Arabidopsis thaliana: one gene and its partner. The protein of the gene in region 2 interacts with the protein of the main gene of each other region in a biochemical or structural test. Each region holds a gene or a part of one and is shown on either strand. Other genes may lie near its edges.

What was found.
Region 1: the proteins of CYCD1;1 (region 2) and CDKB2;1 form a complex in vitro, tested with the Arabidopsis thaliana proteins (one study listed by BioGRID).

Annotation. Positions count from the first base shown.
Region 1 is NC_003070.9:28,714,338-28,730,208, forward strand, and holds CDKB2;1 (cyclin-dependent kinase B2;1), read right to left. Parts: upstream 8,214-15,871; 5' UTR 8,015-8,213; coding exon 7,788-8,014; intron 7,494-7,787; coding exon 7,352-7,493; intron 7,261-7,351; coding exon 7,199-7,260; intron 7,086-7,198; coding exon 6,974-7,085; intron 6,883-6,973; coding exon 6,789-6,882; intron 6,689-6,788; coding exon 6,619-6,688; intron 6,531-6,618; coding exon 6,392-6,530; intron 6,313-6,391; coding exon 6,217-6,312; 3' UTR 5,991-6,216; downstream 1-5,990. Other genes in the region: AT1G76520 (Auxin efflux carrier family protein), read left to right, coding at 1,047-1,184, 1,292-1,371, 1,446-1,570, 1,661-1,782, 1,873-2,022, 2,096-2,188, 2,282-2,382, 2,503-2,741 and 1 more; AT1G76530 (Auxin efflux carrier family protein), read left to right, coding at 4,070-4,204, 4,280-4,359, 4,432-4,556, 4,650-4,771, 4,803-5,015, 5,093-5,185, 5,277-5,377, 5,478-5,731 and 1 more; AT1G76550 (Phosphofructokinase family protein), read right to left, coding at 8,563-8,857, 8,941-9,044, 9,156-9,272, 9,353-9,457, 9,568-9,624, 9,702-9,746, 9,841-9,951, 10,063-10,136 and 10 more; CP12-3 (CP12 domain-containing protein 3), read left to right, coding at 13,948-14,352; AT1G76570 (Chlorophyll A-B binding family protein), read left to right, coding at 14,795-14,938, 15,022-15,188, 15,357-15,503, 15,712-15,844.
Region 2 is NC_003070.9:26,432,700-26,448,570, reverse strand, and holds CYCD1;1 (CYCLIN D1;1), read right to left. Parts: upstream 9,016-15,871; 5' UTR 8,919-9,015; coding exon of another isoform or gene 8,775-8,918; 5' UTR 8,557-8,774; coding exon 8,284-8,556; intron 8,132-8,283; coding exon 8,045-8,131; intron 7,519-8,044; coding exon 7,420-7,518; intron 7,325-7,419; coding exon 7,123-7,324; intron 7,034-7,122; coding exon 6,897-7,033; intron 6,813-6,896; coding exon 6,591-6,812; 3' UTR 5,564-6,590; downstream 1-5,563. Other genes in the region: AT1G70220 (RNA-processing, Lsm domain-containing protein), read left to right, coding at 562-1,001, 1,083-1,151, 1,999-2,122, 2,200-2,241; AT1G70209 (uncharacterized protein), read left to right, coding at 8,775-8,918; AT1G70200 (RNA-binding (RRM/RBD/RNP motifs) family protein), read left to right, coding at 14,220-14,754, 14,830-15,037, 15,103-15,871. UniProt on the Arabidopsis thaliana protein: May activate cell cycle in the root apical meristem (RAM) and promote embryonic root (radicle) protrusion.

The DNA of each region.
Region 1 (15,871 bases), 2.3 Mb from region 2:
TATTCTCATTCAGTTTTGTTTCCATTTCAAATTTCTTACGACGCATATGAAAATGTACATTTTTATAACAATTCCCCTTAAAAATAGATGACAAAAAGAAAAATGTTTTTTTTAAAAAAATATATAAAATAAAATAAATAATAAATCTTCAACAATCGATGAACACTTTGCAATATCTCCACACCTTGGGCAAGAACCAGAAAAAAACATGGGGCACGTTTCGTAGTCGATGTGACGAAAGGCATGACGACGGTTACCATATAAATTCGTCTTCTCAGATAAAGCCTTATTATTCTCAATAGTGTTATACGACAATATACGAAACAAACAAAGACCCCGCTTGAGTTGAGTTTTCCAAAAATTGTGGAACTGTTTCCTCTTTCTTTTTGTACATAAACTAGGTTACAAAAAATTGGAAAATATACAAAATCAAAGGACATAAACTTACGAGATATATCATAACTCATAAGTTGTGAAAGTTGGAATTCAAAAAGGAGCTAACTATGAATCTATGATACGTTATTTTGTTGCTTATACGGAACAAAACAATTCCAAAAACAAAGAAGATGTAAAAGTCTGACCCGGATCATGCGGACACCAAGTTGTACATACAAAATATGTAGGATGAAAATATGAAATTCTCTTCCCATATGCATAGAATAATAATTTACCTTAGTTAAAAAGATTAGTTTCTAAGTTTGCCCCAAATAAAGAGATTAGTTTCTTGAAAAAAGCATTTTGTGGATAGACAAGAATTTAAATAGAATGAAGAGGCGACCATGCAAGTGTTGTACTAGGCCAAATTTTGGAGACGCTCTTTCTCTTTCATAGAGAGAGAGTGAGAAAGTTCTGATACGGCGGCTTCTCACTGTCATCTAGCTGTACCACTGACGATAAATCTCTCTCTTCCTCTAAATCGGTTAAAAAATTCATTCCCTTCTTGGATTGCTCTGTTTTCTTCGGCGGTTCTTGCAGCTCCATTGATTCTCTGTTTCCTCTGCTACAGTTAACTTATACTTGCAGATTCTCGCGTTGATAGTAAAAAGATGGTGAAGCTTTTGGAGCTGTTCATAACTTCATCAAAACCAGTCGTTGAGATTCTGTTGATAACATCAGTCGGATTTTATATGGCTCTCGATGGAGTCAATCTTCTTGGTCATGATGCTCGTAAATATCTGAACAACGTCAGTTAATTATCACTTAATTTTACTCTTTTCTTTAATAAATCTAAATGATTCAACTTTAATATGTCTCTGTTTTGTTATCATTTTCTTGATGTGTGTGTATATAGATTGTCTTCTATGTGTTTAGTCCTTCGCTTATTGGAAGCCGTTTAGCTGATAGTGTTACATACGAAAGCTTGGTCAAAATGTAAGTCAATCTCAGATTTTGCATCTTGAGTCTGTAATCTTTGCTCTTTGGTTAATGAAAATGAGGATTTGCAGGTGGTTCATGCCGGTGAATGTTCTGCTTACATTCATCATTGGTTCATTACTTGGCTGGATTGTTATTGTCATCACTAAGCCTCCTTCACACCTTCGTGGTCTCATTCTTGGTTGTTGTGCTGCTGGTAACAAACCTTAACATGAATGTTTCTGATTTCAGAATCTGTTTAACTTGTGTTTTGCTTATGACTGTGGTAATGAATGAAACAAAACAGGGAATTTGGGGAATATGCCACTGATTATAATCCCAGCTGTTTGTAAAGAAAAAGGAGGTCCCTTTGGAGATCCTGAGAGTTGCCAGAAATATGGAATGGGTTATGTTGCTCTCTCCATGGCTGTAAGTTCTTCTTCTTCTTCTTCTTTGTCTTCTTCTTCTTCAAGGTTTTGTAATCAGTATGTCTCATGACAGTACTTGGTAACGTATCAGATGGGATCTATTTACATATGGACTTATGTATACAATCTTATGCGTGTGCTATCGAACTCTCCCGTTGAAACCCCTCCCTCTGTTGAATCCAACTACGACAGCTACAAAGTTCCCCTTATTTCTTCCAAGGAAGAAGAAAACAACCAAAAGGTTTCATCACATATGCACATGATCAGTAACTATTCATTTATCAAAGTTGGTAGTGACTGTGTGTATATGACAGGCTGGGAGGTGGGAAAAAGTCAAGCGGAGATTGGTTTCACTGTCACAAAAAGTCAACCTTAAGACAATTTTTGCTCCATCAACTATTGCTGCGGTTTGTGTTTCAATGGCTCTGTTTTATACATTTGAGACGTCACTCACACTAGTGTAATCTTTCTAATTACCCTTTTTGTTCTTCTGTTTCCAGATGATTGCACTTGTGATCGGGCTCATTACTCCTTTAAGGAAGCTAATAATCGGCACGGAAGCTCCTCTCCGGGTGCTTCAAGACTCAGTAACTCTAGTGGGGTAACTGCAGCTAAAATTAGACCATTATCTTAGCATTAGCTCAACAATGAATCATCTCTTGGAAAAACGTAACTCACTCATTCGAAAGCTTCTTATGTGTCTTGTTTCTTTTGGCTGAAGAGATGGGGCAGTTCCTGCAATGACCATGATTATAGGAGGAAACCTACTCAAAGGTTTGAGGAGTTCAGGAATGAAAATGTCCAGTATTATCGGCGTCTTGGTTGCGCGTTACGTTTTACTGCCTATGAGCGGTGTTTTAATCGTAAGAGGAGCATATAAGTTGGATTTAGTTACATCAGAGCCCTTATACCAATTCGTTCTTCTTCTTCAATATGCTGTCCCACCAGCCATGAATCTAGGTTCATTGCTCTGAAACCAACTCTTTAAAAAATACAGTTACTTCTTTCAGATAAGATCACTTCATTAGTTTCACTTACTCTTGCAGGTACAATTACTCAGTTATTTGGAACTGGGGAGAGTGAATGCTCAGTGATTATGCTCTGGACTTACTCTTTGGCTTCGATTGCACTCACTGTTTGGCCAACATTCTTCATGTGGCTTGTAGCTTAGAATAGACCCCCATACTCATCATGTTACATGTATTGTTTTGTTCCATTGATTCAAGAATTGTTCTTGGACTTCCAGATGATTGGATCAAGTATAATAGAGAACATATACTTATAAGTCTTTTGATACGAACTTTGGACTTACAGTCTGTAACTTACAGATAGAAGATCAAGTCCAGCCTCATCAAGAATCTGCTATTTTGATCCTCATTGTCTTGGGATCCATCAAGAGATTGTGAGGCTTAAAATCTCTGTTATGATACCCAAATCATTCTCTCTTGAAACAGGGTAAAACCAGAGAACAATCTACTTGACTACTTGTGACTGTGGCCATGGCAGAAAGCTATTCCTTTGTTTAGTTTGGTACACCTGAGAAAAATTTCAGATTGTTACATTTGGTTTAATAGACTATTACATATCAGTCAAGTGAGTACAAATGATGAGAGAAAAGAGTGGTGACAAAAAGCTCTAATTGGTGGATTTTGTGATAAATTTCTTTACATCTGTGTCCATGTATCTCAAACCTAATCGTACTCTAAGATCAATTAATGTCTCATCACGTCATATTTGAGATTTTGATGTATAACCTTCCACATCAGGGCTAAAGTGCATGCTAGACTCCAAGATATACTATATGTAATATATAAATTTGTAGCTAGTGAAACTGTGGAAAAACAAAAATTATAGTACTGAAACATTTTAGTTTATGAAACGATTCTTCAGAAAATAGATGACAACAACAGAAGTTTTTTTAAAATCAACGTTATTGTTCTTTACCATACGGTAAACACAATGCGACATATCCACATCTTCAGCAAGAACCACAAAGTAACATGGCACGTTTCCTAGTCGCTGTGACTAAAGGCATGACGATGGTTCCCTTATAATTTGTATTCTTTTTTTCTCAGATAAAGAGTTGGTGGTTATGATACGTTGGTTTTTTCATACGGAACAAAAATAATACTTACTCTATATCTCTCCTTCACTCTTCCTCTAAAAAGGTAACTATACCATTTCATTTGATTTCTCCATAAGTTATCGTCGTTTGGTTCATTGTTTCTTTATCTCAAATCATGTAATATATGGATTAAGTTTGCAGATTCTAACTTTTGGAAGTAGAGATGAAGCTTTTGGAGTTGTTCATAGCTTCATCGAAACCAGTTGTGGAGACTTTGTTGATAACATCAGTTGGATTTTATTTGGCTCTCGACACAGTCAATCTTCTTGGTCATGATGCTCGCAAACATTTGAACAACGTCCGTTTTTTAACTCTCTTCTTTAACAAATAATCTAAAAGAGTTAACTTAAATTTCTCTTTTGTTTGTGTATAGATTGTCTTCTATGTGTTTAGTCCTTCGCTTATTGGAAGCCGCTTAGCTGATAGTGTTACATATGAAAGCTTGGTCAAAATGTAAGTCAATATCAAATTTTGCATCATCTTTAAGCTCACTTGTTATAATGAAAATGAGGATTTGCATTGCAGGTGGTTTATGCCGGTTAATGTTCTGCTCACATTCATGATTGGTTCGTTACTCGGCTGGATTGTTATTGTCATAACTAAGCCTCCTTCACAGCTTCGTGGTCTCATCATTAGTTGTTGTGCTTCTGGTACAAACCTTGACATGATTTTAGAATCTTTTTGTCTTTCTTTGTATCGTATGTTTTGCTTATGAATGTGATGATGAATGAAACCAAAAACAGGGAATTTGGGGACTATGCCTCTCATTATAATCCCAGCCATTTGCAAGGAGAAAGGAGGTCCCTTTGGAGATTCTGAGAGTTGCGAGAAATACGGAATGGGTTATGTTACACTGTCCATGACTGTTAGTTCTTCCTCTCTTGTCTCTCTTCAAGGCTTTTTTTATCAGTGTGTATAAACATGACACTAATTGGTATGTATCAGGCGGGAACGGTTTACTCATGGACTTATATATAAATCTTATGCGTGTGCTATCAAACTCTCCCGTTGAAACACACACACACTCTATTGAATCCAACTATGATGACAGCTGCAAAGTCCAACTAATTTCTTCCAAGGAAGAAGAAAAAGAAGAAGACAACCATCAGGTCTCATTAATCAACAACTCTTCATCATCATCATCAGTGTTATTCATTTTGGCAGTGACTTTGTGTGTGTTTGACAGGTTGGGAGGTGGGAAGAAGTCAAGCAAAGAGTTGTTTCTCTGTCAAAGAAAGTCAACCTTGGGTCAATATTTGCTCCAGCAACTATTGCTGCAGTTTGTGTTTCAGTGGCACCTTTTTTATATACATTCAAGACATTCACACTAGTGTATATCTTTCTTATCTCTTCTTCTTCTGTTTTCTCAGATTATCGCGCTTGTGATTGGGCTTATTACTCCTTTAAGGAACCTAATAATCGGCACCGTAGCTCCTTTCCGTGTGATTCAAGACTCATTAACCCTATTGGGGTAATTGTAGAATAGTCTCATTATCTTAGAAGTAGCTCAACAAATGATTCATCTCTTTGAAAAACTCACTTTTTCTGTGTCTTGTTTCTTTTGGCTAAAGAGATGGGGCCATTCCTGCTATGACCCTGATTCTTGGAGGAAACTTACTTAAAGGAATGAGGAGGTCGGAAGTGAGGAGTTCAGAAATGAAAAACTCCTGCATTATCGGCGTCTTGGTAGCTCGTTACATTTTGCTACCTGTAAGCGGTGTTTTACTCGTGAGAGGAGCATACAAGTTGGATTTAGTAACCTCAGAACCCTTGTACCAATTCGTTCTTCTTCTTCAGTATGCTGTCCCACCAGCCATGAATCTAGGTGCATGGCTTGAAACCAACTCCTTAAAATACAGTTACTTCTTTCAGATAAGATACATCACTAGTTTCCCTTACTTTTCAGGTACAAAGACCCAATTATTCGGCGCTGGGGAGAGTGAATGCTCTGTGATTATGCTTTGGACTTACTCTTTGGCTGCAGTTTCACTCACTGTTTGGCCAACATTCTTCATGTGGCTTGTGACATAAATCCCCACACTCGATCTTGTTATATGTATCCATTTATTCAAGAACTTATTCTTAGACTTCCAGATGACTGGATCATTATAATTGCGAATAGTCTTAAGAACATTAAAGCCGTTAATCCAAATATTCGAATAGAAAGAAACAACAATCAGAAGTGATATATTATGCTAAAGAAAGGATGATTCATAGAGGGGGAAGCAGCACACTAGAGATATGCTTGAAAGAAGCAAAACTAGAAAAACCATAAAACTTGGAAAGATACTAACTGAAGATTTTAAATCCTTAGAGAGAGGACTTTTCTGGCAGATCATCAAAGTAAGGATGCTCCATAGCCATCTTTGCTGAGATTCGTTTCGCTGGCTCGTACTGCAGCATTTTCTGTTCCAGGAAGATAAAAACGCAATTAGTTCGTCTGTTGAGTTTGTTTTGGTAGCTAGTTAATAAACTTTAGACTTACAGATAGAAGATCAACTCCAGCCTCGTCGAGGTTTGGAACAGCAGAGGATAGAGTCGATGGTTTCCACTGTGGGTATTCATGCCAGTTCTTGAGTGTGCTCACTCCTGGCCACATTTCTTCATTGGGTGTCCCAAACAACCTGAGTTGTACACCGGAAAGAGCGGCAAAATGAAAAAAGGTTTTCTTATGTTTGTCATGTAAAAGGTGAAGAATCAACAAAGACTTACTTGAAAATATGGAGGAGCTGTTGGAGCTCAGAGTCTCCCTGAAAGATTGCTTGGTTGGTCACAAGTTCAGCTGTAAATGGTGAAGGAACAATGTTAATTGTTGTTGTTTAGTAACTTAAGATGATATCGCAGTGACTAGTGAAATCAACGAGTCTGAAAAGAACACATACCAAATATGCAGCCAACAGACCACATATCCACAGCTGTAGAGTAATGGGTGGCACCAAGAAGAACCTCTGGAGCTCTATACCAAAGAGTTAATATCTGTTGCAATGAACAACCGATTCAAAACCATAAGTTCTACAATACATACAAAGTGGGATAAGTGCAAGAAGCAGTGTCAAACATTGATTACCTCATGGGTATACTTCTTCATTGGCAGAGTGAAGGCTCTGGCTAAACCAAGATCTGCTATTTTGAGCCTCATTGTCTTGGGATCCATCAAGAGATTGTGAGGCTTGAGATCTCTGTTTTGAAACAAGGAGAAATAGTAAGAAGAAGAAATCTCTCTTCCAAGTTATTATCTAAAATCATTCTCACTTAGAAGTTGAAAACAAGGGAAAGCCAGAGAACAATTCACCTGTGCAATATCCCGTGACCATGGCAGAATGCCATACCTTTGCATAGTTGATACATCAAGCTCTGCAAATAACTTTTCAGAATGTTATGTTTGGTTCAAGTGAGCACAAATGAAGCGAGAAAGAGAGATGACAGTAATAAGGTGGTTAAAAACCTTGATAGTTTGGGTTGGAATGTTCTTGCCAGTGCTACGGAAACTTCTGATGAATTTCTTGACATCAGTGTCCATGTATTCAAAAACCAGGTACAGTACAGTTTTGCCTTCTTTGCTTAGTCCTTGCTTAACATCCATTAACCTGAAAAAGATGACAAATAAAGTTTCCGTATATAATTGATTTTGCAATCACTGGAAAACTAACTGATACAGCGATCCAGATCAAACTCTAGGGAAACATCTATCAACAGTTTCTCAGAGCCAAATCATCTAACAATTAGTAGACTCTTCGAACTGATTACTACGATTTGAAATTGAGATCTATCTAATCTGGAAAACAAGCGAGATAGTGAGAAATCGACTATATAAACCCTAACGCGACTACAAGATCGAGAATATGGGGGCAATTTTATCGAATCAGAGGTAAAACCCTAACCTGACGACGTGAGGATCACGAGCGAGCATTCGCAAAATGGAGATCTCGCGGAGAGTGGTGGAAGGAACGCCTTCTTCGTCCTCATGGAGACGCGTCTTCTTTAGAGCGACGATTTTCCCGGTAGCTTTCTCTCTGGCTCTGTAAACTTTCCCGTATGTCCCTTCACCAACTTTCTCAAGCTTCTCGAAAGCATCCATGGCGGAAACTGCTATAACTCCCTCGTCCATCGCTCTCTAAAATTCTTCTTCTCCGGCGCTCTCTCTCTCTCAGTTGGTTCTTATTGGGAAAGTGAATTGTCGGAGATCAAAGTGTAGATAGGTTATATAATTAAATGAGACCTGAAATTATAGAATCCTTATTCTTGGGCTTTCACAACGGACTGATTTTTCGAAATTCAAACTGGAGCGTGGAGGAGCGGTCTTTTCATAAACGCCTTTTTTTAATTTGCCACGTACTATAGTATTTAATTTTAATTTTTACATTTATTCATTTGTGTCCACTTGTCATATATATCCGTAGGTACTTTGATTTGGTCGCACCATATACAAATTATGATCGAGAAGGCAACAAGAAGATTAGTGAACCCAAACACAGACTTCTTCATTAAAAAAGCATTACTCAAATCCTTTAACTTTGAATATCCTTTTCCTAAACTCAACTTTGAACAATAAAGTTTGCGTAAATCAGAAGACGACTTCAAAATGGAAAGAGAGAGAGAGAGAGAGAGCTAATGAAGTTTATGGTTAAAGGGAAAACCAAAACAATAAAAAAATCTTTAAGCAAATTGCTGACCGCTGGTGGAAGAAGATGAGATCGTAGTGAGAACATCAGTCACCGAGGCCATAACACTCAATGCCGCTTTCAAAACATCTTGAGAGCAACCCGGTTTCACAATCGTCCTCACCTGATCAAGATACTCCTGCAGCTTCTTGATTTTCCCCATGTAATCCTGGTCTTCTACACACAGACTTACCGCCTTTGCATCTGCACCTGGACCATCATACTGGACTGGTCCTGGGTTTCGGTACATATCTTCCATCAAGAATTTCTGCGCGTTTTGTCTCAATAGACTGCAAAATCATTTGACAAATTATATCACTTGATTTCATGTTCATTCTAATCTTTGTCTAATGAGTGAGGAACAAAAGCTTACTCGTATGCTTTTCCTTTCAAGTCAACTGAAGCTGGATGAATTACAGGTCTACCAATCGTAGTAGAACCAGAATTTTGGGACCAACGCTTAACCGTCATCATTGCCTAAGGTTAAACAGAGAAAGAGATTGGGGTCAGTAAAACTGAAACTTGAAGTCAGAAATCAACACATATACTAAACAACTTTAGCCTTATAAATAAGAGACAAAACTCAACTGAGATAGGCGCAGCCCCGCATTTCCATTTGTTTACAGGACTCTTCAGGTTAGTCACTGTCGCCATGTAACCATTCAAACCAGCTGCGAGGATGTGGTAACATACATGTCCAAGAACCTGCATCAAAGTTATAATCAATGGTGTGAATGTCCATAATATTGAAGTTGCAATAGCATTTTAGTTTGGCGATCACATACATAGGCGTAGTCACAATCGAATTTTGATGGAAGAGATCCACGAGCTTGGTAACCAAAAAAGTGACAGATAGCGTTGAATTTCTTCCCTTTGTAGGTTCCTTCTTTCTGTCATTTTCAAAACTTAGTTTTAGGGACAACTTGAATATTCAGGCAAGGTTATTCAAAAAAATTTGAAAAAAATGGATTGTGACAAGTGAAAAAGATGTGCAACATACCAAGCGCTTGTTCATTTCAGTCTCCACAAGATAAGCCAGAAGTTTCTCCGTCTCAATCTAAGAAGAAAGTAAATGAGCAATTAGAATTCCAACTTTTTATAGCACAGTAACTCCATCATTTTCTTTCTTCTTACCTGGGATAGCTGAGCAGAATCATCAGACTCGGGATGGAGAAGTAGCTGCAGAAACAAAGAAGACAATTTATCATAAGAACACATACTCGTTTACATGTGAGAAAAAACAAAGAAAAGTACCATGTCAAAGAATTAGAACCTGTTTCTTAATGAATGGAGGCAAAAACTCAAACAAAGCAGATGACCAAGATGACAACTGAGTAGAAATATTATCAACCTGCACACCCTCCTTAAGCAATCCATGAATTTCCTGCATCGCACAACAACATGTAAATGCTTACTATGTTTTGGAACTCAAGAAACAATAAAAAATAGCACATTAAATGATAAATAGAAATGTTTGCCAGTATTGAATCGTTACCTTCAACAGAGCATAGAGTTCAGGAATACTCTCAACAAGCCCTTCAGGAATTAGGATGACTCCATGATTTTTGTCTGATACAAATAGACAGTTTATCAATAAAGTTAGGGAACAAGCAAAAGACATCACTTCCAACATACCAAAAGCTCGTTTTAGTTATCAGACCTTGTTCGGCTCTTGCTTGAACAGCATCACAGATTTGTTTTATGATGTCAAATATTGTGAGCTTAGATGCTGTAACCTCCTCACCCAGTATCACCTGAGACAATCGCATCAAATGCAAATGAGAAACTAGATGCAGCATTGCCAAGACTATCGATTGAATATATTCAGAATTTGGAAGAATACCATGTTGGGGTGAGACTGAAGTGTACACTCAAGGGCAACATGTGAATGCTTCCGACCCATGAGACGGACAAAGTAATAATACTGGCAATACGGAGGAAAGTATGTTATTGAGAAGAAAATTTGATAACAGAATCATAAGGAACCCAACTTCGCAATTATCAAACCATAATAAATTTCACATTATTAACCAACAAAATATAGGTTGGTTATGAGTGTCCTAGCAATCTTTCTAAAACATGATAACGTTTGGAAGGAATCAACATTTACCTTCTCTGCTGAAAGGGCATCGGTGCAGATATTGCTAATGAGCTGAGAATTCACCTGTACACAGTAGAATGATATTAGTCTAAATAACGAGTTAAAATGTTATTAACCTGAAAAGAACGGTGAGCGAAATGAAAGAATGTTGGCTACAATACCTACAAAGTAAAAGAAAAAAAAGCGCTAGATTTCAAAGTTACCTTGCATGTAGTATCGAAACCAACATTTGCTTCCACAAACTGATTCTTAAGATCTCCATTAATAGTGACCGGAACACCAACTACCTGAAACATATTGGTAATTTCTGCTGTTAGCGATATCAGGTGAAGTGCAAATGTCACTAAAGTGATTCATGATACAAGATCAGACAAAGAAAGAGAAAAACTGGGAAGAAATTAGGACCTTTGTTGAGCATTTTGCTTCAGCAAAAAATTCAGCAAGATGAGCGGCATCTGTGTTTGATGTTACACCTAACAAATAAAAACATTGATTTAGAAAATTCTGGGATGAACTTAAAAAATCATATTTACACAAGTTAAGAACAAAACATCTACTAAAACAGACACCCGAAAAAGAGGAAAAGTAGGTACCTCCAATGATAACTAGGCTATCCAATTTCAAATCCGTGCATGCTTTTAGTGCAGCATTGACCTGTTCGGTTGTTCTAATCTGATCCTTGGTTCTTCCAAGCATATCATAGCCACCTAATACGACATACATTTAAATGCCATATGTCAGAAAGCAGCAGAGATAAAGTTCTGAATAATCTTAATCAAACCACCAACCACCAACCTTGGTTTTTGTAAGTTTGGAGGACCTCATCAGTGATCTCCAGGGTCTTCTGGGCAAAGAGACCTTCAGAACCACCTGTTACAGGTAGCCAAAGTTTCATATTAATGACCAGGCACACATCAATACGGAAGTAAGATGTGACTTTATAGTAAGCAAACAATGAAGTTACAGAAATAAGAAAACCAACTAACAGATAAAAAACAGGGACTTACCCAAAAATCCAAGCAAAGTGTTCTTCGCGTTGTGCACTTTGAGAGCCTCGTATAGACCCCAAACTACATTGTGCCCACCAGGAGCCTGCCTTCCACAGAACACAATTCCGACCCTACAATAGAAAACAACTAGCTCTAACCAACAACAAAACCACAGAACAAGAAATTCCAGAGATCTATAAATATGCAGATGCATGCACACCTCTTCACTGGATGTTCAGTAATGATCTGAGCATCAGCAACTTTAGCAGTTGCCCTGAGGAAATGAGCCAAAGGCTGGCCTAGAGTATGTGGGAAGGCACGGGCAATGATATGAGCATCACCAGCCTTTGCCACAGTGGTTCCATCACCAAGTTCAACACGGACAGTAGTCCCCTGTAATGTACATTGAATCAATAACGAATTAAACTACGAATCATCCAACCAAAAAAAAAACTACGATTCAATCACTGTTCCAGAAAATCACTCCATCATGGTAGTTCACGTTGAAAGGCAATTCTACCTACCACACTAAACTGAAATGTTAAATCAGACGAGTAAGTATAAAAGGATCATAAACCCTAGATCCCGATTATAATAACAGTGTAAACAGATCTGCATGAACGGAAACAACATTGCAAGTTCCTCGAGTAGACAATCAAAATAAACAGCTCGAAGGGATTCAAAATATTCGCGACGTGACGAAATTGTGAGAAAACGAAACAGCAGAAGAGATGATATCAATGAAAAACATAGAGATCCAAACATTGGAGACAGTGAACGAGAGAAGGAAGCAAGAGATCTAAGGAAGATACGAATATACAAATAAAAGGAAGAAGGAGAAGTACCTGGAGACAAGGAGGAAGCTCAGGGTGGTACTGAGATCGGAGTTGTTGAAGAGGAGAGAGTTCTCTGGGGATTCCGAAATCTGAATCCATGGGCGATAACTTTTTAGGTTTTTGTGAGAAATTAGGTTGGTGAGAGTGTCAGAGAGACTCAGAGAAGATTCAGAGAAAGTTTTTTCCTTTGGCCCGTCAAAAGTATTTATATAGTATGCGGGGGACTTGGGCGATACGATCAACCAAACAGCCAAAATTTGGTCTTCTTCTTTTTTTTCTTTCAGTCCACGCTTTTTCTCGATCAGCCCTTGTTATTCTGGTTATTTACGAAAATGCCATTGGATATAAATATATACCCTTACCTTTTTCGGTTTGGTAATGTTTGGTTAGTGACCAAATTGTCTAATTCGGTTTGGTGTTCATATTTTATGGGTTTTAAAAGGTTTTAGACTGCAAATTTATCGAACTGTATGAGTGTACGTTTGGTTTTAAGTTTAGTTTATAAATGCGGTTAGGTTTTGGTTTAGTTTGAGTTGACAAATTCCCCACCTAAGTGCGACCAAACTTTCAAACTAAGAAAAAATAAAAGCAAAAAATAGGATATGATGATATGCTAAAAGGGAGAGTGAATGAGCACCAAAGGATAGGTGAAGGGTAAATACGGAAATAGCGAGAGAAAAAAAAAGAAGATGGAAATATTGGGGAATATAGCATTCAATAGGGAGATATGCTTTTACATGGTAATTACAAAGGAATAAAGGCAAACATATAGTAAAAGATACGACTCTCTCATTCCCTCTTCCCCAAGTATTATTATTGCCTGATAATTGATAAACTACCCATCGAAAATAAATATTTATTATGCACATGGATCTTTAAAAAAATGGATTTGTTTATTATTTGACCTGATTTGGGCTTTTAATAAGGCTTCTTATTTACTCTGTTGACCGTAGGAAAGGCCTGTCATTATTTAAAGATCTACCAACTGAATTTCATCAGTCAGTATCGATGGGATTAGGTATATTAATGGTAATTGTTATTTTCATAATATAGGCCTAGTGTGATAAGACCTCAAAAACAATAAGCTTTGATATTACGATGAGAGTAGGAGTATATAATAAAAGCATAAGATTATGATGATACAAAGGACATCAAAGTTGGTGAACACCTAGAACAACAAAAGGAGTAGGTAAAAGGGGTCAGCTTTGCATTGTGCTTATCTCAACTACCTTATGAGAAGAAAATAATATTTTTTTCTAAAGTCAAATGTTTGATGAGTGTAGTTTGGATAATGCCGCATTAAAAAAAAAAACGTGAAATGACAATCGAACATTGATGATTGGAGGGCTTATTTGTAATTACGATAACTATAGTCAAACGGCCCAAACCATTAATAATAAAAGGTGAATAAAGAATTTTCTGAAAGACGAAGAAGAGAAACGAAATTCGTAGAAATGATCTCGGGCTCGGCGACGGCGAGTCATGGGAGAGTGTTGCTTCCGTCACAAAGGGAGCGACGGCCCGTCTCAACTGGATCAAATATTTTACGTTTCAGAGAAACAGTACCGAGACAATTCAGCCTGATGATGGTGACGAAGGCGACGGCAAAGTATATGGGGACGAAGATGAGGGAGGAGAAACTATCGGAGATGATAGAGGAGAAAGTGAAGGAAGCGACAGAGGTTTGCGAGGCGGAAGAGATGTCGGAGGAGTGTAGAGTTGCGTGGGACGAAGTTGAAGAAGTGAGTCAAGCCAGAGCAGATCTGAGGATCAAGCTGAAGTTACTGAATCAGGATCCGCTCGAGAGTTTCTGCCAGGAGAATCCAGAGACCGACGAGTGTCGAATCTACGAAGACTAAAATTTGAGTTTTCGTGTTTTTAATGATTGTAGCTAATCTCAAAACAGAGGACTTAGAACAGAGACTGATTCTGATTAATAAATCTCAATCGTCCATTGAAACCGTTGTTCATCGTGTTCACTTACACCGATTGATTTGGAATGAAACTCTGCATTTTGGATCTTTTGCTTTGGAACAAAACGGTTGTTTTGATTGTTTATGGATCTAACGATGTGGCCTGTTACTTAATTGGGCCTATAATCTGGATCCGCCGAGTCCGGGCTTTTTAAAGAACTGGCGAATATCATTACACGTGGCCAGATCCATAACTTTGAAAATTTGGTTATTTTTAATTTTTGTGGAAAATTAGAGACCGCTTCTTGCTCTTCTAACTTCACCTCTGCTTTCTTCTTCTCGAGTGAAACAGACAGCCAAATCAAGATTTGACGGTGAGCCAAATTCCATGGCACTGTTTCAGGAGAAGCTTTCATCACTTTCCTCAAGTTATTCGTCAATTCATTCTCTTCCGAGGATTCTCGTGTCCAAGCCTCGTAATAGAATTGCCGTGACAAAGTCCCGTTCGATTTGCAGAGCTTCGTGGCAAGAGGTTTTTGTTGAATTTATCTTCTTACTAGAAATCATCATTTTGTTTTCTCCTCGTTCTTTTTGAAACTTTGCTGTTGTTTTTAGCTCGCCGGAGTGTTGGTTTTCTCGGCGATTCCATTCACTGCGGTTAAAGCAATTGCAAATAGCTCAATAGGAGTTTCTCTACGGCGGAGATTAGAAGAGAAAAAGAAGGAAGCCGTAGAGAATTCTTCAAGATTCAAGTCTAAAGCTCAGGAAGCTAGAAACGACAGGTAAGATTGAGTTTATCAGTGTTTTTTTGTGAAGGCAATGTTTGATAAAATGGTAGATAAATTCAGTTTTCTGCGGCAACGATTATTTGATAGATACATACAAAAGTTCTATGTTACTGTAACTATATGGATCAAACATTTCCTTGGTTTGTTCCTGTAAGTGTGCAGCAAGTGGTATGGAAAAGAACGTCCCCGTTGGTTTGGTCCAATCCCATATGATTATCCTCCATACCTTACAGGAGAACTTCCAGGGGATTATGGTTTCGACATTGCAGGACTTGGCAAAGATCGTTTGACCTTTGATAAGTATTTCAAGTGAGTCTTCTCCTTTCTATTTCTAACCTTAGCTTGTTCTGTAATTAGAGGCTGTCCTGATTCTTCTAACTAACTGTTGACTGTTGTTGTTTCTCATGATTGTTTGTTTGTTCTTTCTACCAATTCATGTGAGTGGACATTATGAAATTCACTCAAGTCGATCATGTTTCTGGTAAATAGTAGTTTAGTCCTATTGCTTGTTTTGCAGCTTTGAAATACTTCATGCTCGTTGGGCCATGCTTGCAGCATTGGGTGCTCTAATCCCGGAAGTATTTGATCTCACTGGAACTTTCCATTTTGCTGAACCCGTATGGTGGCGAGTCGGTTACTCCAAGCTTCAGGTTTCGCTCATTACTTAGCTCTATTTG
Region 2 (15,871 bases):
AAAGTAGTGACAGGAGATAATGGTGATGTAGTAGCTCACCAGCTTCCAATAATTTCTCTTTTGACAAAATATAAAATGATTAGTTTAATTTATGCCAGCTGGATCACTTCATTTTCCTCTTAATATCTAGCATCATAAGCAGTTAACAAAAAGACATAAAAATAAAATAAAATAAAATAAAAGTAAAATAAAAATAAATCTAGCATAAACATCTTATTAAGTAACAAAAGGTCTACCAGTGGATAAGAATAGTATTGTATATACTTTGTGAAAATAATTGAAATTTCTGTAAAAAAAAAAAAAACTTATATGCAAAGCTCAAGAGTCAAGAGTAAGCTGGTCTAAACTCTAATTGGGCTATATTAATAAATTACGCCTGGTAATAGCTTAAATAGTGACGACCCAGGATAGGTTTATATGGGCCTATATAGCTCTGAACAGAAGCCCATTTACGGTTACAGTTTGTTATTAATTGTCCACGCGCCATAAACCAAGATATTTTGCAACCGTCACTTTTTCAAAACCGCGATTTAGAAACCGCCGGAGAGTTCGTTCGCCGCCATGAAACCAGCAAGTGCTACGGTGGCTAAAGTAGACAGCGGAGGAGAGGACGAGAAATTCGAGGTGGGGAAGGTATACGCTGTCAAGCTGACCACCGGAGATCAGTTCAATGGCATCGTCTTGGCTTATGATTCTGAACCCAACTTCGCCGTTTTCGATATCCTTTTTCGAAATCGCTACTCGCAGCTCGTAGATTCTTATCTCTGCTACTTCGCCTTCTTGATTTCATCTTCTTGTGTTTGTTTTCGCGTATTCCTTGACGGATTAGTGATTTTACAAGAAGGCACGAAGCCTAAACCTCTGGATTCGAAATCCTTACGGATGGTGAATGTGAATTACATAACGGAGATGAAGAATCTGGGGAGGGTTAAGGAACGTCTCGCTAAAAATACTTTGGTTAATCTTGATGGACTCATAGAGAAAGAGAATCATGCTATTAGGTGATAGTTTTTGCAATTTGTTGTGAAAATCTCTATGATTGTTTCGATTTTATCACTGATTTTGATTAATGTATTATGCAGTAACGTCGAGAAGATTGGTTTTGGTGTTACCGCAGAAGGGCAGATGATCTTTGACGCGATTTCTAAGACGTAAGGATCTCTTTGGTTCTTTATATTGAATGGATGATGATGATGATTTTAATACAATCCAGTAGTGTTTGAAATCTTGTTAATGGTTTTTGTTAGTTCTTTGTGTGAAGAAGATAACAATAGCTTACATTGTTACTGCTTTTGCTACTTTTTGTGAACAGATTTGTGCTTTGTTTCTGTTAGCAACGAGGGTTGGATCAGATGCTTGCTTATATAAGTAACTGTGAATCGTTTAGTTTTTGAATCTGGATTCAATTTAGTGTTTGTATTGTTCTTGGTTTCCAGAAGATGTAAGTTATTTGGAACTAATATTTGCGCTATGGTTGATTGTGTCTTTTGCTTTGCTTCATTTGTTGCTACTGTGAAAATGCCTGTAAATTAGCATCATATCTCACATCTTTACTAGAGTTTTCATACTTGTCATGGCATAGCGTTTTTATTGCTTGTGGTTTTTAGAAGATGCAAGCTTTTTGGGACTATATATTTGACGAATTGTGTCTTTAGCTATGCTTCAGTTGTTGCTGCTATCAAGTCACAAATCTTTACTAGAGTTTATTTATGTTGGACACTTGGACTACTTGTCATGGCATTGCTGAAAGTATAAGCTACAATGGAGTAAAATTGTCAAAGAAAGTAATTATGTAGTTTTTGCTACCTTGGGGTGAGTTACATTATATAAAACTCGACATGGTCAGAGGCTACTTATGTTGTGGACCTTGAGTTTTCCCTGTTTTGCATCTAAGAACCGTGGTGACAAATGGTTTTATGCTTATGATGATAATCATTCTATTGACTTTTAGCATATACTCTTTTTTTATTCATTGTTATGTGATGCTGCATTCTCCAGGCTTCCTATACGCTGGGTGAACAAAGAAATGCTGGTAATGGGAGATGTGTTTATTCGTAGCCCTTATCATTCTGATTGTGTCTATGGAGGACCCCGTATGGTCAATGAACGAGTAAAGCATGTGGTAAGTGTCAATACCAAGTAATAAATGTAATATTTGCGTTTCATGTCATATTTATACAGTTCTTTGTTGTGTCACAGCTGGGGCAGGAGAGAAAGAAGTTGCAACTCAGTGACACCTGAGGATATTGAAGGAGTTGTTCAATGAACATAGAGCAATAGCGTAAGTCTCTTATCCCTAGAAGTACCCTAGATGTGATACCATGTGTAAATTCGATTCACGAGAAGAAGATTTAGAGATTTTTGAGTTGCAGAGATTTAATTTTGGTGTTGACATTGACAAGAACACAGAGAATGTTGTTGTTACACTGATTTGAGACTTGAAGCTTTAGTGAATGGATGGCTTGGACTAGTTAAGACTTAGGATAGTGAAATTCTAAGACCTTGATCTACAAATTGTGAAGTCACCGACTTTTTACAAATGGGTCTTTAGCCTTTTCCCAAGTCATAGCCCAAATCACAACAATGCCCATATTGAAAATCTTATTAAGCATGGTGATTAGAGAAATGACTAATTTATAGCTATGATGTGGATTCAATGTATTATTGATATATGGCTCCTACAAAGTCACATTCGCAAGCTTCTTTAATGTCAAATCTAAAAGAGTGTTACATTCCTTTTTGTCTTTCTTTAACTAAAACAAAGCTTTCTCCTCTCTAATCCGCTTTTGCTTTCGCCCCCATAAAAAAAAAATGCCTTTCGCTTTCTACTTTCTACTTTTTCATCCCTTTGCTGAAGTCTCTGTAAAAAAAATTCAATCTGAAAAAAAACTTACAATCTTACTTTATTGCTTTCAGTCACTGTGCTCAATGCTCATTGGTTTTCTTTTATGCTCATTTCCTTTCTCTCACGTTCATCCTCTTTTTTCCTTACACTCTTTTTACATTAATCAAAAAGAATCGAAACTATATTCTAACTGTGCCTGGTTATATGGTTCGAACTTCGGTCACACGTGTGTGCGAGTGTCCTTGTAAACAACATGAATAGGTTGGGTTAGGTAAAGAGTGATTGATGATGAAACAAAGGACTTTGGGAAGGAGGAAACGTCGTTGTCCACTAGAGATATGAAAGTGCAATAGTGACTAAATCTTGGTTTGTGACCATAAACAACAAAAAGCAAACCCACGATTTTTTTTCTAAAGTAAAATACAAATGAGAGACGCTCCCTCGAGAAACTAAGTTCACTCACTCTCTCACGCCCTACGAGTCGGGCCATGCCACCATTGATTCTTCTCTGTTCTCTCTTTTCTTTTATTTTTTATTTTAATGATTCCTTCACTAAATATCATCTCATATATCACTTTATAATTCTTTCTACTTTTCAAGCATCCAAAGTTTGATTATTTTAATGAATATATAGTGTATCTTCTTCTCTAAAGATTAAAGGCAAATAAAGAATCCATGTGCAAACTTTGTTTCTACATGTTCTAGCATATATTCCCTCGCATTTCTTTTTTCTTCTGTTTCGCTTTAAGAACAAATGTTAAAATATGCTTTTGTATGTGCTTATAATTAAATCCCATTACGTACTTGATTAGTAGTCGGAGAGGTGAGTAACGTGAGTTTGATATAGATTGCATGTAATGGTAACATGTACGTAGTGTATAATTATGAAGAAATGATCAAAATAGCTATGAAATACGAATGTATAAATAGGCGATTTGGTTAAAAATATGCGTATTATATATTCTGTTTTTATTCCTACTAATATCCACATGATCTACATGCGCTTATATACACGATACAAACTCATATACATCTACATGACTACATGTGTATGTAAAGTAATACTAATAAATCTGCCCATTTTCTATAAATTAAAATGAATGCAACTCCTGTCATATAATTTCATTGTTTTGTCTCTACCCCATTCCCATTAGTTGTCATTATCCATTATTCTATAAGAAAATTAATGTATATTCTGTTTGAGAAACCAAGTGCTCGTGAAGTGTATGATACAAAAAGGTATGCAACTAATGGCAAACGCGTGTACCAAATAACAGGACAAGGATCAATTAAGATAGTAATTAAAAGATGATTGTCTTTATACGCTGATATATAAGCTTAGGTCCCTTTGTGTCCCCGTGTGTCCTAATCAAAACCCGCAAGAGAATTAAAATAAATAAAAAGTTAATAAACAATGATAAAGGTAATCCCCCGATGATTAATATGTCCAAATGTGTGGGCTGGTCATTATTTATTTATAATTAGCATTTAGCAGTTGCTAATCACCTAACCATACTCTCTCTTTACTTTTGCATCATTTTAGATTAAATAGTAGTGGGTGAAGCTTCTATTCTTTCTCTTATAAAGATATTTTGTATTTATATTCCTGTAATAGTTATCTTGTACGTATTTATTTATAACTCCATCTGGTTCACGTTCAGGTTGTCATGTCATATTGATGCTCTGCTCTTACAACATACCATTTATATTCATAATTCATGTCATGAATTTTACAAAACCATGCCAACCTTTTGTAAAAGGAAAGAAAAAGTTAATAAATAGTGACTAGTACGAGAGTAAAAGCAGTAACACATTTCCTTACGTACATTTGAGTGGAATCAAAATGGTAACAGTGCATGTTTGATATTTGGATTTAAAATTTGTTTATGTCAATATTATCAGTGTATGGTTGAAAAATGGGAAAAGTGAGGTAAACCAAAATAATAAATAAACAGAAGAGGAGCGTCATGAGGATTTATAGAAAGTAGATAACGTTGTAATCCGATAGATAAGTAAATGATTAGTATAAAGCATATGACTATGAGACGAGTGATTAGTTCATTGGAGGGTGAACAAATAATGTCGTCGATGGAAAATAAATAAATCACATTACTAAACTAATCAACTAGAATTATGAGGATGGAGACATTTTCTCGACGTGGGGTGCACTTCTGTCGGCACAAACCAACTTAGTTATAAGATTAAAACACACTTTTGTAAAATGTTTTGTTTTGCAGTAAGTTTTTTTCTTTTTCTTTCACTTCTTATTTCCTTTTTTACTTGTAAAATCGTGTGCATACATATATAAATGGATAGTCAAAGATGGTATTTTTGTGTGGCTAATGTTTGAGGGGTTCGAGAGAGATAGAACGGTGTAGCTACGTTATGGTTTCGTGGTGAGACCACTTTCTCTGACATGGAGACAGATCAACATCACATGTATGCTACTGCTCCTATTAATTGTTCCTCTTTACTAAAATCAAGAGAGAAATTAACCACTATTTTTTACTTCTTTTGTAATTTGTTTTTTTCATAATTTGATTTTCTTTTGTATATTTACTGTTGTTAAAATAGGTATATAAAACCCTTAATCTTTTGCCCAAAAAAACAAAAACAAAGAAATGTGTTTAATTATGGCAAAAATGAGGAAGGTTATTACATTTTGAACATTAAATACTTTTTTTTTTCTTTTGGTCTTAAACAAATACAATTTTCTTTTGTCTTTTTACGTTCGTCGTTCAATAAAACATACACTCGATCCACAACACACATGTTCACATGCTTCGTGCTCCCACAGGCCACACCAAAATCAAATCTCACCACTACTCATATTATCCTCTCACGTAGCTATTAACCTTCTCCACGACCATTATTGAGTTCAATGTACTTTTTCCTTCATATAATAGAAACGTTTTATTTATAAAATTCAACCTTTCAAGAAACCAAAAAAAAATCATATATATACACATACGTGACACCTTACACGCATGCAAACGCTACTAAAACGCACCGTGACAAAACTCATTTGGAGTCCACGAATACGTAGAAATCAAAAACACAAAATTTCCCGCCAAAATAAAAGATTTGAAGAGAAAACAAACACGTGAGACACACGCCTCCGTCACGTGAAGTCACACACAAGGAATCAAAAATCTTAAAAATCCAAACAAAAAAACAAATTATATATACTTCGCAACTTGATTTTTTTTTTGTTTGATGATGAAGCTGAGGAAGGGTCCCATGAACTGCTGCGATCCATTAAGACAAAGAGCTCAGAAAAATCTCCACTCACAAATCTTTTGCAAACGCTCCCCTGTCTTATCCATCAGTACCTGTGTGATGAGGACTCTAATGCAAATACTCTTCTCTCTCTCTCTCACACACACACACTCACATGATCATATCTTTTCTCTAACACGTGTGTGTTACACTCACTTACTCATTTTGCTTTCTTGGGAATCTGCAAAGCCATTAATGATGAGCTTCGTCTCTCCCAACCAACCAACCAACCCCAAAACCCAATTTTTACCCTTTCCATAAAAGAAATTGTAACCAAAACTCTTATTCCTTCCCCTTGGTTGGAAAACTCTTAATTACTTTAACTCAGCCAATAAACACTTTTACTTTTCTTCATCACTCCCTTATTACTATGTACTTGTTAAAAAATATACTCTACTTAAACAGAAGAGGGTTTTTTTTCTTCTAGGTTTTGTTTCCTTGGTCCTCTACTTTCACTCCCCAAATTTTAATTAGAGGTAGATGTTTCATCACCTACCCATGAATAGCCACTTAATTTTCTCCTTTTACAAGGAGAAGAGGATGAGAAAGAGGATTCATCACTTGGCCTTGTTAACGTCGATGATGCCCTTACACTCACTCGAAGCTTTGCTATCACTTTTGGTGTATTTAACCGGTTATTCTCGATGGCCATCGCTTTCATCAGTCTATAGCATCTCACTATCTTCTCCTGAAAGTCAAATATAACCAAAAGACATTAATTAGCAATCTGTTACTCCCTTGTTCCATCTAAACGTGATATAACAAATCCTACTTTGCTCAATCCGTCACACCAAGTCTCAGGGCTCTCGTGGGGATTGACAACAGAGGATAGAGAAGGTAACTCGTTCGCTACACAGAGAATCGCGGCTGCAGCTATACTCGATGGCCAGTACTCAAGAAAGCTCGCTTCTGTACTAATTGGTCATGTGTTAGAACCAACCCAAAAATGTGCTACCTAAATGACATTATGGATCATATATCATACAAATATTACGTACCTTTTATGTTGGAGAGTATAATCTCTGTAGCATGGGAGATAAAGAACCCGAGAAAGGTACCCGAAGGATCGATCTTGTAAGCAAAGAAGCTAATGAAATCAAACGGTGTAACCGATCTTAGTCTCCAATCTAACACACTTAGAACAAGAAGTTCCATTCTTTTTATAGTTTTTGCTTCAAATAAATACTTCACTCCTGCAACCTACATTACATTATACAGAGATACATAAATTAAAGTTTCTTAAAAAAACAGAGTAAATTCAGAATGTTAAAGAAAGAATGATAATATATGTTTACCTGAAAATCAAAAAGAGAAGGAACGAGAATTTCCTCCATCTTTGCAGCTAAAGACAAGCATGCCACTGCTAAAAGTTGCATTGGCCAACCACTCGTTTCCTATTTTACAGAAATTAAAGCTGATTAATATAATCATTGATTACTATATACTCTATTAAGTTTAATTACAAAATTAATTTAAAATATTATATAGTAGTAGGAGCGTTTTAACACTATGATTACAAAGTTTTCAATAAAGCCGATATATGAAGTGGAAAGTTTACTGCAAAAGTATACTATTATTATGTAAACGTCAATGTAATTTTTTATCGAAAATATAAATTTCAATAAAATAATTAAAAAACGAAAAAAAGTTCCCCAGCCCGCTCCTGTTCTATCGTTTACGTACATTCCAATATAAGATTAATTTCTACTAAATTATTCTATACCGATTATAATTTTTTGCTCTAATAAATTTTTAGTCGTTTTCATTTTTTTCTGAAGAAAAGTCAATAAACAAATCGATCCATTGAAAAAAAAAAAGGGAAATAAAACTGACTTTTTGGGGTTGTTATTTGTCATATCAATATAATAAAAAAACAGAGACAATAGAATTAACTAACGTTGACGTTTTTAAAACATTTACCGGTAATCGACGAGCGTAAAGAAACCGATCCATATAGTTAACGGCGAGGTACGCCGTTAAAGGCTGAAAGTTATAATACGCTTGTACCTGTAAACCAAACAATACCACACTACTGTAAAAAAAAAGATTCTCTGCATGTAACGATTCGATCAGCGTATTTTAGCGTCTACACACTCTCCGGCGGCGTATTTTAGCATTGAAAAAAATGAGAGGTAGAGAAAAAAAGTGAATAGGCTCGCCTTGAGAATCCATGCGACGGAATCTTCTCTAGCGGAAGCATCGAGAGATCGAGTTTGAAATCTAGAGAGATAATCATGTCCAGGAACGAAGTGACGCTCGTCTTCGATAAAACAAGCGATAGAATCACCAGGCCATGAATCAACCTCGGAAGACGAGAAATCAACCGTTGACTCACCGGAAAACACACCGGAGTCTTCTCCACAAAACAAATCCATATCGTTAGAGAATGAAACAGACATGTGTAGATAATCACTAAAACGGTAACTCCTCATTCTCTCCCCATAACCGGAGATGAATCAAACCGGAGCTAGATAAACCGGTGAGATCTAGAAGAAGCGAGAAGAGAGAAGTGAAATGTGAGGTTTTTGAATTTTGTGTGGAGAGAAGAGTGAAGGTTTAACACATTCATTTGTTTGGATATATAAACAAGAAACAGAGATTTTTTGAGGTTTTAATAATTTTTTATTTAAATGTGTTTTTATTTATAAAAATGGTGTTGTTGCAAATGAAACAGAGAGACGGTTACCGTTTCCGTTATGCCCGAGAAAACGGGACTGTTGTCACTGTTCCATCAATCGAGACGGGGCTGGTCCGTTCGTTCATTGGGTTTTGTTTTGAGTTTTTTTATTTGTAGTTTATGTTTGTGTTTTTTGACTAACATGCGCTAAAGTGAAATGCGTAGGTTAGGAACAAGGAGTGGTGTAATTACGTAATACGTGGCAGGTTAAGACGTTGCATGAGTGAGTACATTACAGCTAATGTACGTTTGTTTGCATATTACTCGTGAAGAGAGAAGGCCGTACGTGTAATGTATTAATTGGTGACGTGTAATGTATTACTTGGTGATTAGCTTAATGGGCCTGGATTATGGAACATTTTCTGTGATTTGGACCATTTTGTTGGTCGCTTAGAAAGAAACATTTTTTCGTATTTAAGATTTGGACTTTATTACTATTGGTTAAAAAATAAAAGCATCGAAAAATAAATCAAAATTTTACAGAGGTTTTAAAGTCATGACGCTTAATCATACGTATATATATAAGTATTTGATTTGCTAAAATGCAATTTTTTTGGTTATTGTTTGCTTTTTATGTGATTAGATGTAAAACTCCTGAACCATTTTAGGCACATGACAAATGCTCAATAGATTTGAGGCCATTTTAGATTCAATGATGATTTTTTAATCGAATGTAATTAATTGATGTTTTGCATTATAGTGCAATTTTTTTGCTGTTTTCTTGAATTAACCGTATGATAAATCAGTTTTTTTTTTGTAATATCAAGTGAGGGAAGAAGATTCCAAATTTTAAGATTGGTTATCTAATTATCTTGAATTATAAATTAGTAGTTTAATTGAGATTGGTTAATCAGAGGAAAGCAAACAGTGGTCTGGAGCGTGTGGGAAAGAGTAGTGGAAGTCCTTTTCGTAGAACCGGAGATTTTCTTCACATTCCTTTTTGTATCAATATGTCATATTTATTTGGTCCCTTCTTGGTTTAATTATGCCATAAAAGTGTTAAATCATTGGCCCGTTTTTATTAATCACTCCCGTAGTTACTTTCTTTCACGTGTGCCTTACAAAATACTTTGCTCCTTCGATTTAGATTTTAGACTTTAATTATACCATTGGGATGATCTCGGTTTAGATTGTAGTAGATTTTTCGCTTACCTCTAATATATTTACCCCTTATTTTAGTTTTCAGGTGTATTAGAAAAAATGTTTCATATTTTTTTTTTTTTTTAACATTGTTTCATATTTGTTTTGTATGTGTTTTCTATGCAGATTTGTATAAATTTGTCAATATTTTCATATTGATAAGAATTAAAAATTATGGAAGAGCTAATATATAACTATCACTTGTATGTACTATGTAAATAGTTGACAATGCTTACGTAGATAACGAAATTAACATTGAGAAAATTACAATTCAACAACTACATTGTACCATAGAAATTAGAAACAAATGGGATACTTTTTGAAATAGAAGATAATATATTTTTGGTATCTTCGGCGGAAGAAGACCTTCTTCATTATTTATTTGTTATGGCTAGGTTGGGCTACTAATTCATTTCTCTGTTTAGGTAGACAATATTTAAAACATATGGCTTACATTCAGATTTGCATTCACATTTACAGTTAAATTAACATTTTTATCATGCAGTATATGTTTATTTATATTAACATTAATGAAGTCAAGAAACTGAAATTTGAAAGGAGGGAAAATATGCACCTCCCAACCTACAACAATTTATCAGACTGACTACATTCTCGTGGTAGGGTTCGTCATTTTTGTTAATGTCTTATTTTCTTAAAGAAAATCAAGACGATTCATGGGAGCTATTGCCTTATAGTCAATGATCGTTGTTGAATGGTTATTTCAGATCTAATTATATGGTACGTATGATATCACTAGACATGATCTTATACTATCATCGTCACATTAATTGATACTACTCGTTAAGAAATGTTTTTTTTCGTTCTCCTGTAGCATAGTCAACTCGGACCCTATTGATATACTCTTGCATATGTAATCATAATAATGCATTTTTTTTTGTTATATACAATGATGATCATGAGTCCATGTTGAGTTACTAGAAATATAATGAATAGTTAACAAGTGGGTCGAGTCATTTTCAGCAATATATGTTTTTTTTCTCTACATTGAGTTAGTTTTAGGAAACATTTCTAGAATCCTCTTTTTAAAGGAGAACTTGAAAATGAATAATCAAAACATTGAAAAATCGGTGAACTCAGATCATTGAAGCTACCAATTTCAATGGAATGATAATGAGGCCTATATAATATTCATACACTGATCATTGATCGATTTTTTCGCCAGACTCCAATTTTATGTATAACAACATGAATTGTAACTTTTTCACATTTTTCAGTCTCTAATCAAACATATCAACAAGCACTTGCATGATGAGTGATGAATAGTGACATTTTTCACATACACTGTGCACACAGTAACTAAAGATCATTGCTTTCTCATTTCCACTTTGGTCTTGGTTGAAGTAATTTTATTTAGTTTCTGAAGGTTGAATTGTTTGGAAAAAAAAAAAATGATCTCCAAAACATGTTATTTTGCATGGATTGAAAAAAGCATATAACCATAGCAAAATAGCTGTTAATATAAAAATGTATGGTTTTGAGTTTCTTTTGACTATAATTTATAGCTCAGTTTTCACAATCTCCATAATATTGATCACAATCTCCACAATCAAACTTTTTATTATTAGAGTGTATAGTTAAGCAAAATCCCAAAAATAAAAAACCTAGCTAGGAAAATATTCCTCTAAATTAATATTACACACTAGTTCTAAACAATCTGATACGAGTTGCCATCGAGATTTGCACACGAAAAATGTTCAAAGGGACCCTTTTTTCATCTTTAATCTTTTTGGACTTTGGTCGGCGTTGGCTGATTATGACTCGCTATACCACGATTTCTGTCCCTTGTTACAAATAATTCTATTAGCTAGTCTCGATTCTCTTTTTTCTTTCTTCTTTTGTTTAAGTAACCTCCTTATCTTTCTTGTTTAGTGGAATACAGGCTCCGATCAAATTCAGTCACATGTCATCATTTCTCTAAGATATATGTTTCCACGTCAACAATTAATTTCAGTTAGTTTGTTTTTATGTGTTTATATAATACGTAATAAATACATAAACTATAATTTAAACAAGATGAGGATTTAAACCAGCCCCTAGTAATAATCTAACATTAAAACAAAAAGTAATAACATAACAACGATACAAAAAAAAAAAAAATATAATTACAAATTTTGGTATTAAAATTATTTTTTCTATACATTAAATATGGAAAAAATATTTCTCATAAAAATATATGTAAATATGTAAAAATTCAATCATCCTTATATATTATGTTAATTTCCTTTAGAGTTTAAGGAAATAGTTTTCGATGGTTCATGTATTTCTCATTTTATATCATATTATCACTTCGTCAAAACTATATAAAAAGTTAAATGGTACGAAAATAATTCGTACTTAAAACACATAATAATGGGACATACACCACATATCACCAAAAATATTAATAATAATGGGACATGCATAGAAGGAAAAAAAACATAAAAACTGAGGACTGTTTTGATGAAAACAAGAAGAAGCCTAAAATGGAATTCGTAGGATATTACATTGAAAAATATGACTGTAATAAATTTAAGAGGATATCACTTCAAACACTTAGTTAAAAACCGACTATAGTACATCCTATTCTTTGACTTTATCTAGTTATATTTAGTATTTACATTTGTATACCGTCTATATATGCCCAAAACATGTGAAACTATTTTTAATATAGAAGTGAAGATGTGTCCCCAATAATTAATGAATCACATATACGTTTTTCAACCTAAATGTGAATTATTTCGTTAATTTTGGGAAATCAAGTTTTTTTCTGTTTCCAAAGCATATCTTATAAACTCACTTTTTGTTTTGATAATATATAGGCACCTATTTGCGAACAAATTTTTATTATGTACACAGTACACTCAAAAGCTTTATGTAGTTATTATCATTGTTATAGTGCCTAAGTTGCTGCTTATCTAACTATCCACTAAGTTTTTTAGTTTGGTCTATATCTTAGCTATTAACTTTAGTCGAGATCATTTAACTACTATGGCGGCTTGACAGACTGAGGCTATTCTTTAATGAAAAACTCTATAATGTAAAATTCTTTTTCTTAGTCATATAGAATTATAGATATCTATCGTGGTTTCAAACTTTCAATCTATATAGTATATAAGTGTATAAGTGACATTATCTAAACATGTTTATATCCTCAAAGTTGTAAAGTTACTAAACTTCCGAAAAGATGATAGAAATAGCAACCAGAAAAACTATATTGTATTGACTTTTGACTGACTTTAGAACTCAATAGTGTAGGCCAACTCAACCTAACATTAAATATTTATGAAGACTAATTAACAACAATCATAGGGAGCCTATTAAAATGTTAAAGTCTTGCGCATGTTTGACTATATAATACTAACGTATAGTTGCATTTATTTCAATGATATAAATATTTTATATCTCATTGTACTACTTAAGTTATAGATTGATTATTCGTTGGTGATATTTAAGACCAAATCCTAAGACGACATATATATGTAAGTGTAACCCAAAAAAATCTAAAAGTCATAAACCGTATGATTATAAGTATATATAAGATACGTATTATACTACAGAAACACACACATGTGTAACGGACCAACATGGATGAAGAAATGGTCCCATTGAGAAGAAGAGATCTAATGACTTCAAATCAAGAATGGTCCATTTTCCAAAATAGACACGTAAATATATACAAAGCTTAATCCCCATCCCTCTATTGGGTCTACACACAGCCTAGCATTTTTGTATTTTCTGCTCTGTTTTTATTTTTTTTTAACTTTACAAATTACTTTTTAATTCTTATTATCTTCAGCTTTTGTTCTGTCTTTTTTTTTATTTTCCTGATAAATTCTCACAACTTCCATTCATGACTCGAGCTGGGTCCTTTGATTTGTCACAGCTAATCAAAACAGTATTAGCACAAAAAAGTGTATATCAATATGACCATGAAGTTCATAAAAACATGGGACCTTTGAAAGATGTTGTCTCACATATTCATACATATTTCAATAAAATCCATTACGTACGATTCCATATAAATTATTGGTCAGTCATGCTAAATGTAAGCAAGCAAACATATCATTTATGGTGTTACATCAAGTTATGACAGAGTATGATTGAGGCCAGAAAGTAACTTATGGGTCTAATGGATCGTATTCCAAAGTAATGGGCTTTTTATTAAGGCCGTAAGAGGCCCATTTATGTGATTTCTTTGAAGTCGCTTTGTTTGCAAGTTGCGACTACTCAGTTTCTTCTCCGGCGAAGAAGAGGATAACGAAAAGAAAACACATAGCTATGAACGGAGCTTCGCTCTGCAACTCCGTTTTGCTTCATTCTCATTCTCTCTCTCGTTTTCAGTCATCCTCTTCTTCTTGTTCTGTGTATCTGATTTCTTCTGCGCGTACTACGTCTAAGTATATCTCAATTTCTCATAGAATTCGACAGAGCTTTCGAGAAGTTATTGAAAAAAGGAGTAATGGGTTTTGTTCATTCGCTGTAAACAAGCGTAGAAGTGGCGATTCCGTTATTGTGGAGTCAGACGATGATGATGAAGAAGATGATGAAGATTGGGGTGAATTTGATGGAGAAGATGAAGGAGAAGAAGAAGAAGAAGATGAAGGAGAGTTCTTACCAATGGATAAGATGAAGAAATGGTTAGAGAAAAAGCCTCGTGGATTTGGTTTAGGTAAAAAGTACGAAACTTTAATTGAAGATAAGTTGCTCGACGAAATTGAGCAAAGTTGGAAAGCTCAAGCTGCTAATCTCAATAAGCTTAAGAATGATCCTCTCAAGTCTCAACAGCTTAAGCGTGACGATAATCTCCTCAAAGGTTTCGTCTTTTCTTCTTTTTTTTGTTAATTGAGTTATAGTTTGGAATCTTATTTAGCTTTGTTGTGTTGTAAAGGAACTGGAGAAACTCAAATTGGGTTTCGTGTTCGTGTGACTAATCTTCCTAAGAAGAAGAATGTTCATAGAGATCTTAAGGTTGCGTTTAAAGAAGTAAGTGGCGTTTTGAGTATAACACCAGCTGTGTCTGGGAATAAGAAGACTAAGGATCCTGTGTGTAAAGGATTTGCTCATGTTGATTTCAAAACTGAGATTGATGCAAACAGGTATGAGACTTGTGGTGTTTATAGTTAAGTGGTAATGAGGCAAAGTTTTGATTTTTTTCTCTTAGGTTTGTGAAACAGTTCACGGGACAGAGCTTAGCATTTGGGAAGGTTATAAAGCAAATCAAATGTCAGGTTGTGGAGTTTACTTCTGATGATTCTGTATCGAAGGAAGTGTACTTAGATAACGGTTTCAAGGTGCAGAAGCTTCCGTATTCTGGTCTTGAAGGAGATTCTAGTGCTGATGTTGTTGAAGAAGAGGTTTTGTTGGGTTCAGGGGAAGAATCGGATGATTCAGAAGAAGAGGTAGATGAAAGAGAAGTGGAAGACGATGAGCGGAATCATATCTCTAGTAGCATAGAATCTTCTCCCATTGAAATGACACGTGATTCGAATACCAAGTTAAAGTTTGAGAAACAAGTTGTGAAGCGAGAGATAAGAGAACATGAGGAACTAGAGACACCTTTAGTTTCATTCCAGGTGAATAAATCTGAGGAAGCTGCAGCGGAAACACACTTGGATGATGAACAATCTGAGGAAGCTGTAGCAGAAACACTCTTGAATGATGAACTTGATGGGGATGATGAAGAAGAAGTTGCTGAAGACAATCTTGAACCTCTGAACAGTTCATTGTCATCCTCAGAAGAAAATAGAGTAGATAGAATCCGTAGGCTAGAGCAAAAGCTTCTCGGTAAAGAAAAACTCTTGGGTGGAGGAGTTGGCTTTGATAAACCAGAAGCAAAACCCGCTAGAGTTGAAGGAAAGAAGAAGGAGAAAAAGAAGAAGACAAAGATTCTTGTGAAAGGCCAAGCCAAAAAGGGGACAAAGATAGAAATC